2 linked regions of the Drosophila melanogaster genome follow. The protein of the gene in region 1 interacts with the protein of each later gene in a pairwise test. Each region holds a gene or a part of one and is shown on either strand. Other genes may lie near its edges.

Evidence for each region. Proteins that work in one complex are often made in the same cells at the same time.
Region 2: the proteins of obst-B (region 1) and Calr interact in a two-hybrid assay, tested with the Drosophila melanogaster proteins (one large-scale study listed by BioGRID).

The regions. Positions count from the first base shown.
Region 1 is NT_033779.5:10,030,667-10,038,763, forward strand, and holds the start of obst-B (obstructor-B), read left to right. Parts: upstream 1-2,023; 5' UTR 2,024-2,073; intron 2,074-2,222; 5' UTR 2,223-2,226; coding exon 2,227-2,287; intron 2,288-6,151; coding exon 6,152-6,407; intron 6,408-6,494; coding exon 6,495-6,613; intron 6,614-7,551; coding exon 7,552-7,948; intron 7,949-8,026; coding exon 8,027-8,097.
Region 2 is NT_033777.3:9,628,179-9,632,852, forward strand, and holds Calr (calreticulin), read right to left. Parts: upstream 2,674-4,674; 5' UTR 2,588-2,673; coding exon 2,500-2,587; intron 2,376-2,499; coding exon 2,271-2,375; intron 2,263-2,270; exon of another isoform or gene 2,077-2,262; intron 2,003-2,076; coding exon 1,530-2,002; intron 1,438-1,529; coding exon 883-1,437; 3' UTR 513-882; downstream 1-512. Other genes in the region: CG8319 (uncharacterized protein), read left to right, coding at 1-432; SpdS (spermidine synthase), read left to right, coding at 3,543-3,676, 4,199-4,674. UniProt on the Drosophila melanogaster protein: Molecular calcium-binding chaperone promoting folding, oligomeric assembly and quality control in the ER via the calreticulin/calnexin cycle.

The sequences.
Region 1 (8,097 bases):
TGTTGTAATGTGGTGGGAGTGCTAGCTTGAATAGATAAAAAGTGCAAGCTGGCTTTTCGGTGTGCGGGGTTCGATGGTCCGTGCACAAGGACTTGGCCGAACTATCAGCAAGAAATTATGATTAGCTTTTGGTAAAGTTTTCGACCGCAGTCAGCAGTGCAGTGGTGGGGGCACTTTTGAGCTGCCATCGCATACTTTGCGCCACTAATCCGCCGGACGGACCAAGGACTACGGACCACAGACAGCGGACAGCGGACAGCGGATTTCGGACGGACAGCGCATCAGTGGAGCGTAAAGGACCTGGGATCTGAGAACAAAAAACGGGAATTTCCGCAAGCGCAACGTTTTAATTTGACTCTTGATTGTTATGCCATTGTTGCCTAGCATTGTGCATTCCGCATTCTACACTCGACATTCGGCGCCCTTAACTCTGTGTGGGCTCTTTGTGTAATCGCCGCTAATGCGCCCGAAATTGTGCTAAACGATTTTCATTCTGAGGGCCTCCAATCCTCCAAACCACCAACCTCCACCCCATTTCCGCCCACCAATTTTCGAGACTCCCGGACCGCGGGCTATTAAGCAACTGTGGGCTGTGCGTTACAATAACCATGTTTTAAAGCCCCGCGGGGAAATGGTGATGCTATTTTTCTGACTTATCGCAGGATTATGAATCGTGGGACATTTGCCTTGACTGTGGCCATTGTGATTTGCATTTGCACGCAACATTTGTTAAATTTCTATCGTCATGTATGTCATTTCACTTAATTATGCCATTTACTTTGCATACAAAGCTGCCATAAGTTTGCTACCAAATTCTTGGACAAATTTTTCAGGAAAAGGGCGAGGCATTTTTCCAGCACAGAACAATTTGTCACAATTATTGCACACGAAATGACAGGCAGATGAAAACCAAGCAGCTGGAAAACAAGCTCCGGCTCCGGAAAAGTCGACTCCAAGTAGGCGAGCCGCAACTTTGACAAGTTAAATGTGTTTTGGGCCTGCACAATGATGCAGCAAATGCTCGCTCGGAATATTCAGGAGCAGGAGTAGGAAAAGGAGGAGTACGAGTGGGAGCAGGACGAGCCAGCCACCTGCATGGGCAAACGTGTCCGAAATTTTGTCATATTTTTTGGTTAATTTCAAAAATGCAAATCATCGATGTCCTGGCCGACATCGGAGCACGTCCTGTCGCCTTTTTTGACAAATTTGCCAGCACTGCTCGTGCGGCAATGTGCTCGTTACAAACTTTCTGTGGTGTAGAATATCATGGATCCGGTGGGCTTTGCACTTTGCCATCCTGCAAAACCCGTGCCAGCCGATGTCGATCGTTATGTTTTCCATGGACATGGAGGAGGCCGCTCATTTGTTTGCAGCTTATTCGCATAGTTGATGTTGGTTTGCTGCATGGTTCAGAGGGCCATGGCTTCACTGGGCCATGTTATGCAAAGTTAGCATTTCCATTTCCTGCCTTTGTTTGCGCATCCCTTGGTTAGTTTAGGCCACAGTTGTCCTTCCTACGCAACTAAAAATTTGATTATTTTTACTAACTAATTAGGACTGTGCGGGCTAAGCAGTTTATTTACCTTTCATTAAAGTTCTGAGTGCCTTTTGTGTTGTATTGATTAAGATGCTGCTTCTTTAAACAAGATAGTTACATATTTAAACTATCTTTTTTTATTTCATATACAATGATTTTGTTAGTTTTTGAGTACTTAAGATTATTAGGGTTTCCTCAAGCTGCTCTTAGTTACATTTTCATAGTTTTTAAATTGTTAAAAAGTTGATTGGTTCTTGAAACCTCACATTGGAAAACAATTTCGATGACCAATCGCGTTCGATTGTCTTTAACCATCGTCTTTAACCATCTGACATTAAGAGTCTGAAGCTTTTGAAAAAAGCTCGGACCGGTTTCTCTCCAAACTGCGCATGCGCAGCCATCTAACTGCAGTTCCAATGGAGCAGAGCGAAAGCAGACAAGGTGATGGAGACTTCTGGGCGTTAAAACTCATTGCCCGAGCGATCCGATCGCACAGTTGAGAGCGAGACGTAGACGCGTGCGCACGTACGAGTTTGGTGAGTTCCGATTTCTGCGAGTGTAGTACGATGAATGGTGAATCAAGTGAATGTGGAATGCGGAATGCTGCTCTTGAATGCCGTTTAATGTGCCGCCGGAAAGCATATCAATTTAAAATATTTAAATAATAATCTATCTGTTCGTGCAGGTTTATGTCGGCTAACGAAATGGCGCTTGTGAAAATCTGCATATTTGCTTTGGCTTTGGCCGTGGGTAAGTGTGGAAAAAGCTCTTAATTGCATTTGCCAATTAATGATACGTCAATACCATGGCGTGCAAAATGTCCCTGTGCAAACTCTATTTGAATAATGTGCCGTGACTTTAATGCTCTTCTGCTTTCGGCGAAAACAATCGCCTCTAATTGTTGGCCGCACCCAAACAAACGGGAACAAACCCACAGGCCAACCTAACTACAAACAACGCAACAAACAAACGAACGAACAAATAAACGAACCAACCAGGATAATAGCGACAAACAACCATATGCAAATGCAGAATGCACAGTGCTGCAGCAACTAAGCTGAAAAATATTGTTGTTAACATTATTGGCGCCCATGTTTATGCATATCTGCAGTGTTTGCAATCCTGGCCCTCTTTTCATCATGTCAACTGTTGTCCGATGATTCGATGGCATAGAACACGTGTAAATGCCACATGTAGCATATATGGCATATAGCACTTGCTGTTGTTGTTGCTGCCAATTTGCATGACTTTTGTTTTTCGGTTTTCATACCCTCATACGCTACTCATTGAGTAAAAAGGGTATACCAGATTCGATGCTCTCGGGAAATATAAAAGTTATGTTAAGTTATACAGAATACAGTGGAGACTTACGGGAGCGATTATGTTACTACCGCTAGGTGGAGCTCGTGTGAGCTCGAACGCTAGGTATCTGATAGTCGAGATACTCACCTATAGCGTTCTCTCGTGATTGGATCGGAATTACAGCTGCAAACCCATTGGCATTCCAATTGCAATTGGAAATTCGGCAATTTAATTTGCTGGCAAATTTTCTGCTCATTTATTGTGTGAAAGCTCATTAAAAATTTGTTTGTCTCCAATGTGCGGGGGCATTAAAAATGCACATTGTTAACTCGCCGGCATAAAAACATACATATTAAACAAATTGATAGGCGAGCAACTGTTGCACTCGGGGGGCGTAAGCTGAATTTGGTAATTATATTAAAATGTCTATGGCAAAAATATGGCAACAGCTCATAATTAAATGTATTGCAATTCGGTGCCGCCGGGGTTGAAAGCAAATTAAATTGCCAGTTAATTGAGGAAAAACTCACCGCGTTGAGACAAAGGAAAAGTTTTAATTTGATGGTAAACATGTTTGTACGAAAAGTTTATAATGTGTGTGTTTGCCTATCGAGACGAACACCTTTTTACCCCCTATTTTATAAAAATCTCTTACATCTAATTTAACAAACCGGTCGGTTCTATTGTCAATCTCGCATCAGTTCAGTGAATGACATGAAAAAGTGCTTACAATCTGTTTATTTTTAATCTATTTAATGTTCATTGAACCTAACACGCTGCCTGCACGCACTTTTCCAAGATGACAGCCACGACACCCACGACGTGTGTGACTGGAATCGAAAATCCAAAGATTCAAAGCTCCCAAAAAAAAACCGTATTGTAGCCACGACTCACTCCTCCGTCTGCTTTGCAATCGGCAGTCAATTAATCTAGTCTAACCGGACTGGGAATCGAGTCAAACGGTCCAGGACCGGGTTGAACCGGGTCTGTTGACAACGGTTGACTCCAACTCCAATTCCAACACCAATTCCAATTCCAATTCCTACTGCGACTGCAAACTCCATGGCAAACTTGTTGACAGACTGTCAGAGCGACGCGACGGCCCCCAACCAAGTCGACCAAGTTGACGAGTCGAAAAAAGCCAGGCCCAAACCGCATAGGCCACGCTTCGCTTGACTCGTTCGCCGGGCTGCGAAATAAAAAAAAAAAAAACGGAGGGTCATAAAAATGAAAGGAAAATACCTATTCAGGAGCAGGTCGTAAGGGAAATGCCCTTGGGGGAAAAGCCATTTCAGGCAATTATTAAAGAATGGCTGGGAAAAAGTGAATATTTGAAAGGATAAATATTATTCATTGTTTCATATCGAACAAATATTGTGGCACATTTTATTCGAAACTAAATTTAGTCTGCTTTGCTTTGCTATTTAAAGGCTGCAAGTGGTCCATAGTTTAAATTTAAGCCATTGAATAGTTTGAATGTTCATTTAGTTGAAATTTAACGCAACTAACCGAATCAGCTAACAATAATGTCTGTTAAAATCTACAATTATTTAATTAATTAGGACTTCGATTTTCATTTAAAGTGCTAAAATTAAGCCGAATAGCCAGCTCGAAAAAAAAGTTTTACAATAATGCAATTATGCATTTGGTTTGGTTTAACTTTAGTCGGTGAAAAAACGATGCTTTCAATTTGATAGCTCTCGAATAGGTGTGAATTTATAAAATTAAAAATCAATTAATAATATTAGAGGCATGTTCATACAGTTGTTTATGCAATTTCTTTGTTTTGAGAGTGTCTTTCATTGAACTCCTCCTGCGCAAGAGTATTTGCCAACTGAACTATGAAGCTTTCGTGACTTTTTCTTTTCCAGCTTCTTGTTTGGGTTGGGTATATATATTTTCTTTTTTTTGGTTTTTCACCAGATCCCGGTTCGTGTACGAAACATGTTTCAATGACAAGCGACAGCTGCAACACCCAACACTTGCAGCAGCAGCAGCAGCAGCAACTTGGTGTTGTTGGCTTAAATGTTGGCCGACACTTCACGCACTAATTGCTGTGTGGAATTGTTTCTTTATTAACGTTTAATCGAATGTCAGCCGAGCGACGTCAGCATCAGCAACTTGCTGGCGGCATTGTTGATGTTCACTGCGGCTGCCAAACGAAAATTGAAATCGTCTTTTCTTGTTTCTCTTGTATCGCTTGGCTTTTTACGTATCTACATATATAAAGTATATATATGTATATATATATTTTTTTTGCAATTTTGCTCGGTCTGATTGAAGTGGTTTACCTTGAGGAGAGCTCCACCATGTTAACTGGATGCATTTGCTGCATGTCGCATATCTTGAAAAATTTCTTGCAACTTGCAGGAAATGCTAATTGATACTGAGTTTTCAAGGCTGTGCTTTGGCATCAGCTGCTCGGCGGCTTAGATCAGCTGTTTGTGGATCCAAAACCGGGCTTTGTAATACCCGAGAGACTTTCACTTTTAAGGTCGCTCCAATCCAGTGGCCTGTGTCGCAATCGCAAAGCGACAACTCATATACATATCGGTTGCTATTTGTTGAGTTGCCGCAAACGGGTTTTCACGCAAACATAGTGGAAACGTTGGGCAAAAAACAAAAGGCAAAAACGTGCAAGATACACTTGGAAAAAAAATGCTGAGAAGTTATTACAATCACTTTAGAGTAGGTAAATTGCAGGAACCATGGATCAGTGGTTTGGGAATTTCTAATCCTAATCTAATCTTACAATATCCTAGTCATGAAATCAAAATATATCTTGAGTTTCAAAAGTTTACCGCCATTACATTGCTTAATATGCGAAAGCAATCTAAAAATCAATTACTCTTTCTAAAACAATCAACAGAGTAGCATTGTCAAAAGCTTCAACTAGATTAGATCCTGCAAATAAATTCACAAGCTTAGCAAAGTGTTTGCACTTGTGACAAATGAACATGAGAAATGTTGTTAAAATTCACACTCGATTAGGCGCATTTTGTTTAATAGATTAGCTTAGCATTTTATTGCCGAATGGTATAAGAATAATTGTGCGAAACTGTGGGGCTTTGCTGCAATTTAATAACGAAACTATCGAATTAAATGTAGAAAAAGGTTAAACACAGTTTAAAGTTTGATTTATATTTAAGTTGATAACAGCAATGTGTGCTATTTCATAAACTGGCCATTGCAGAGAGTTTCCATCAGCAAAGTAGATTAAAACTGCAAGCAAGGACATTTTGTGTGTGTGTGTGTTATTTATGTATGGACTGAGTTAACATGTGTATATCTCAACTATCTTCTGGTCTGCAGGTCTGACCGCAACCAAGGCGCAGGAGTCGAGAGGCGGTTTCCGTGGCAGTAACAGCCAGTTTCGCGTGGGTCCTGGCCATCCGCCCTCGCAGCGCCACCTGCCGCCCCGAAACCGTGATCCCGTCCAGGAGGCATCGGTGGTGCCAAAGAGCAAACAGACGGCGGCGGAGAAGGAGTACGAGCCCACCGAGGAGTGCCCGGAGCCCAATGGCTTCTATCCGGACAGCAAGCAGTGCGACAAGTACTACGCCTGCCTGTAAGTGACCAAAAGGAGTAGACACACCCGGCCACGGGGCGTATGAGTAATGGCCGTTGCTTAATGCCACATTGACCACATTTGCAGGGATGGTGTGCCCACGGAGCGACTGTGCGCCGATGGCATGGTCTTCAATGACTACTCACCCATCGAGGAGAAGTGCGATCTGCCCTACAACATTGACTGCATGAAGCGGAGCAAGCTACGTGAGTATAAGTCCTTAATTTGCAAGAACCGCTTTACGTATGCACCGCACAAATCCCAAGACCCCACCTATATATATATATATAGTATACATATATATGCTCCTCCATCTTCTGGGCCAAGAATCGGGCAATAAACGCGCTTCGTGCTCGCACTTATTTGCTCGTTACTTCTTGGCTGCGCTTTTTGTTAACTTATTTATTATGCAAACGGCATGCGCAGCGGTTAACCCAAATTGTTGTCGTCAATAGGTCTTTGGTCTTGGCGGTGCTTTGTTTTCATTTTTCGCCTCCTGAGTAGACTCAGTTTTATTCGTGATTTTATTATTTCCCCAACGCCAGAGTCGCGCCACCAAAAAATTTTAAGCCCAATGCCATGGCAATTGGCTTCCCGCGGTTTTAAACTTGCCACGAATTTGGTCTGCCACGTGTGTGTGTGTGGGAGTAGAGCATCCTTCAAACTTCTCGACAAAGGACTTTTATTAAAGTTCTCACGTTGAGAGTTTCTTGCACTAGCGCTAGTTCAAGTGGATTTAAGAAAATTTCTTATTCACTTAAAAAGTCGCACACATTTTGTGTGACCATTTTTAATATGAAATATTGCTGCACGTTTTAGTTTTTAAATAAATTATTTGCCACCCATCAAGGCAATTAGTACACATTGTGCAGGCCCATTAGCAATTTCAATTACCTTTGTCTCCTGTTGACATACATACATACATACATATAACGTTGCCATGGCATATATGCATATAGTTCGCAAAGCATACAGCACCTGAATAAATGTGTGTCTAGTACATTGTGCTGGCGCAGTAATGTATTTACGGATGTGCAAAAAGGGTTTTACGAGCATACAGATAGATAGATACCTTTTGCGAGGGAAACTCAAGGATGCACAGAGGGAATATTCCATTTGTAATTTCCCTATTGTTCAATCGCAGAAACACCTCAGCCATCGCTTCACTGTCCCCGGAAGAATGGATACTTTGGCCACGAGAAGCCAGGCATCTGCGATAAGTTCTACTTTTGCGTGGATGGTCAGTTCAATATGATTACCTGCCCGGCTGGACTGGTCTTCAATCCCAAGACGGGCATATGTGGCTGGCCTGACCAAGTGGGCGTCACTGGCTGCAAGTCGGAGGATGTCTTCGACTTTGAGTGCCCCAAGGTGAACGAGAGCATCGCAGTGACACATCCCCGCTACGCCGATCCCAACGATTGCCAGTTCTTCTACGTCTGCGTCAACGGAGATCTGCCCAGGCGAAACGGATGCAAACTGGGCCAGGTCTTCGACGAGGAGAAGGAGACCTGCGACTGGGCACGCAAGGTGCCAGATTGGTAAGCTATAGTTATCCCTAATATAAAGTACTATTGGGAATTTTATTCTTGGATTCTAATAACTACATCCCATTTCAGTGCCGACTGGTACAAGGATCGTCTGACCGACAAGGAGCTGGATGAGCTGGAGAACCCGAAGCCCAAGACCA
Region 2 (4,674 bases), on another chromosome or scaffold:
CAGGCCTTTACTCGCGAACAAAACCTCAAGGCGCACCTGTTGATCCACGCGGAATCGAAACAGGGAAACGGACCCCACAAATGTTCATACTGCCAAACGGGATTCTTCAACAAGTCGGCCCTCAAGGTGCACATCCATGCGCACATGGGCGAACGGCCGCATGCCTGTCCCTTCTGCGTGTCCAACTTCCGTTCCAAGCAGGCCCTTAAGGTCCACATCCGCATACACACGGGCGAGAAGCCCTACCAATGCCCCCACTGCCCCAAGACTTTTTCGGACAACAATAACCTGGCGAAGCACCGACGACGCCACTCGGATGAACGGCCCTACAAGTGTTCCATCTGCCTGCAGGACTTCCGGGAGAAACATCATCTGAAGCGGCACTTTCTGGGCAAGCATCGGGATGGAGATCAAAAGCTAAAGCTAAAGTGATACCTTAAATTCTTGACCAAATACCACGGCTTACTCGAATAAATAAATTAGGATTCGGTTATGTTTATATCTCATTGTTTCTATAGTTCATATTGGGATTTAATTGAATTTAGGATTTATATTTTCGTAGAATTCGAACAGCACTTTGAAAACCATTTGGAGTGGCAACACCGTTTTTCTGTAAATCAAAATTCGATGTAGACACGACGATATAGACAGCGTTGCCATTCGGCCGTGATTTGTTCACGTGGCACCACCATTTTGATAAACAAGCTAAACAACCCTTAAATCGCTCGAAAAGAGCAATGGAAAAAAACAACAAGTTGTATGTTTATAAATTATAAGTCTTACAAATTGTAATTGTGGTTTCCGTTTGCTTAGAACATCAAAGCAGCTACCAACACACAAAAAATACCGAATATTTCTCGACGTAATTTTCCCTAGACGTCCTTACAATTCGTCGTGTTCGCTTTGATCTTTGTCTTGCTTAGATTCATCATCCTTCTCCTCATCGTCATCATCCTCGTCCTCATCGTCCTTGTCGGAAGCCTTTTTCGCCTCCTCCTCGTCCTTCTTGCGCTGCACCTCATCCTGGGCCTCCTTCATTTTCTTCTCGCCCGCCTGGGTGTTCTTGACTTCGGCAGCAGCCTTAGCGGCCAGCTCCACGTCGTCCGTGATCAGGACGTTGTCGAAGATAGTGCCGGACTTGACCTGCCAGAGATCGAAGCCCAGGGTGCAGATCTCCTTGCGCAGATACAGCTTGTCGTCGGGCACATACTCGGGATTGGCGATCTCGGGATGCTCCCAGGCGCCCTTGTAGTTGGGGTTGTCCAGCTGCTTTGGCTGCCACTCGCCCTTGAACTCAGGGTTGTCGATCATCGGTGGCTCCCACTCGCCGTCCATCTCATCGTCCCAATCCTCAGGCTTTGTGGCATCTGGGTCGGGAATGTGCTCTGGTTTGTCCCAGTCCTCGGGCTTCTTGTCATCGGGATCGGGAATGGTGGCCTACAGAGATTTACGTTGTTGTTTAATAACAATGAGCCAAACCGGTTTTTCGATGGGCTAAAGTCTGATTTGGGCGGGGATTTACAACTTACCCTATCGTCCCAGTCTTCGGGCTTGGTGGCGGTGGGATCCTTGATCTTCTTGGGGGCCAGGAAGTCCCAGTCGTCCTCCAGGTTGCCAGACTCCACCTTCTCGTTGTCGATGAGCACCTCGTACGTGTTGTCGGGTCTGACAATCAGCGTGTAGAAGTGGGTGTACACGTCATCTTTGCAGCGGATGTCTTTGCTGATTAGGTGGTTCTTGCCCTTGTAGCTGAAGATCACATGGACCTTCTTGGTGCCGGGTCCGCAGATGTCCGGGCCGAACATGATCTCGTACGGCGACTCGCCGTGCATGTCGGTCTGGTCGAGGGAGCAGTCGAACAGCTTCACATAGCCGCCGCCGCAGTCGATATTCTGCTCGTGCTTCACGGAGAACTGCACCACGAGGGGCTTGTCCTCGTTGGAGAAGCCATCAAACTTGCGGCTGGCCGCGTAGAATCGAGCATCCTGAGAGGTCTGAATGCCTATATAATGTGTGTCCACATCAATACGAATGCGCGCCGCGCGGAGGTGGGGGGCGAGAAAAAATGTGTATACAGTTACTATAGCTACTCGAAAACGTACACGTAGTGGTTTTTCTTCTTCTTCCTCTTCTTCTTCGTGCCCATGTTCTCCGCATACACGGGCACATACAAATGCAGATAACACGCCGACGAAAAATAAAAATGGCAGAACGAGCGAAGAGAAAGATTTGGAAAAGGGAGTGACGACACATCGACACATATACGCTACCTTTGTCGGCCTCAGCATCGTTGTAGAAGGTACCGGGGGTGAGGACGAATTTTCCGAACTCCTTGCCAGGATGTTTGCTGTAGATCCACGTATCCTCCCAGTTTTCTACGGGAACAAGCGGGGGAGTGCTTTTATTATTCTTCTATTTTTATTGTCTCTCCTTTCGTTATTCATTGAAGGGGAGCGGAGGACCACATGGCGGCCATAGAACGCGATGACTACCACTTACCGTTGTCGAAATTCTCCTTCAGATAAACCTCGGCACTAATAAAGCCGACTGTCGCCAGCAACACTATCACTGTTTTGCACCACATCATGTGAACGATCCCGCACCACTTTTTGGACTGACTCTTCCAACTCCGATGGTTGTCCGAACTCGGTTAAAGTTAAGTACTAAATGCCGGCAAGAAAGTGCTATTTATTTATTGCATCTAAATCGTGCGTGTCGGAGCGGGACGGCTTGTTACTGAAATTGGTTTGCTGGAACGTTTTCATTGGCCCAAATCAGGCCAATCAGGGATGTCTACGTATTCTTTTTCACCGGCCAGGGCTGATTTCGATAAGCAATCGCATGCTGCCCTGTCGCTATCGATTGCTTGAGCTGGAATTAGAAACACTAAAGTGACCGTTTGCTAATTAAATTAAATTATAAAATATATAAAATTAATATATTCTGGCATACAATTAATCACTTGCAGCAGGCTAAGCTAAGAAAACATAAAATTACTCCAATAACAATTCTTCTACTACTTAACAATTGTAGTAGTTACAGGAAGAACAGTTGTGCTTCCAGAACATTCCTAAGCTTTTTAACGGCTTAAGGGTTTTGAAAATTTTAACTCACACTTACATCACATGTTAACAATTAAGTTTTCACCCGATAAAGTTCATAGTATTTAAAAAGTTAGAATGTTAATTATACATTATAATACAAATCAAAAACAAATAAAGGAATTCCAAAACTTTGCACCTGTATTTCGTTAATTTTAGGAACTTTTTTATCTATAAGTGCTAACTTTTACATTTGACTTTATTACATTAAAAAATTACAATTTTCGCTGGAAATGTATTATATTAATAAAAAAGATAAATAGCCAGAAATAGAAAAGTGAAATTAAATTAATTAAAACAAAAAAGCTTTGGTATTTATACCAATAGACCTTCTAAGGTATTTTTTAAGACCTAGCTTTGTGGCAGATACGGTAAGTTCGTGTCGAGCCCACGTGTTGAGCCAATCTTATCAAACGCCGATTCGAATGCGGCATTAAACAAATGGATTCCCTTAACAACGGATGGTTCAGCGAACTGCAGGCCGATCTCTGGCCCGGTCAGTCATTCTCCCTGAAAGTCAAGGAGGTCATCCACAAGGAGAAGTCCCGGTTCCAAGACATCCAGATCGTTGAAACGTAAGATAAATAATAGATAAACAAATACTTGGACACACAACCCCATTTGTTTACATCCGAAATTCCTCAGTCTAGACTGAAGTTTGAAGATAGATGTCAAAATAAATTAGCTTAGATTGAGATTAAAAAACTAAATTAAAATCATTATAAACACGCAAGTCACACAAATCCGAAATTTTTAACAGCTTAAGCTGTTGAGATTTTAAGGACTAACCTACAATAGCCTAATCCCATATGTATCCTACATTGAAGGTCCCTAAATCATAGATTGTAGAAATCGAAAATTTTCCACTGGTTGTTCAAACACAAATTGCCCAGCCAGCATTTTCGGACCCTTTGGTTTTCGTGTGTTTATTCTTGATCTGCACCAACAGCCTTATCGATGGAGTCATCTAGGGCCAAAAACGACAGACAGAATACTGATAGCAAGTCAGCTCGTCTTTCAGGTTTGAGTTCCTCCAGTCGAACATTGGGTACACTTGCGCCGCTGAAAAAATCAATAATTCGATAATTCTATTACAGCGAAACCTATGGACGGTGCCTAATTCTGGACGGAATCATTCAGTGCACGGCCAGGGATGAGTTCTCGTACCAGGAGATGATATCTTTCCTGCCGCTCTGCGCCCATCCCAATCCCAAAAAGGTCCTGATCGTGGGCGGTGGCGATGGCGGCGTTGCTCGCGAGGTGGTAAAGCATCCACTGGTCGAGGAAGTGCATCAGGTGGAAATCGACGACCGTGTCGTCGAGCTGTCCAAGCAATATCTCCCAGCGATGGCCTGTGGTTTCGCCAACGAGAAGTTGAAGCTTACCATTGGCGATGGATTCGACTATATGAAGAAACACAAGAACGAATTTGATGTCATCATCACCGACAGCTCGGATCCCATTGGTCCGGCAGTGAGCCTGTTTCAGGAAAGCTACTACGAGCTAATGAAACACGCGCTGAAGGATGACGGAATCGTGTGCTCCCAGGGCGGTAGCTTCTGGCTGGACCTGG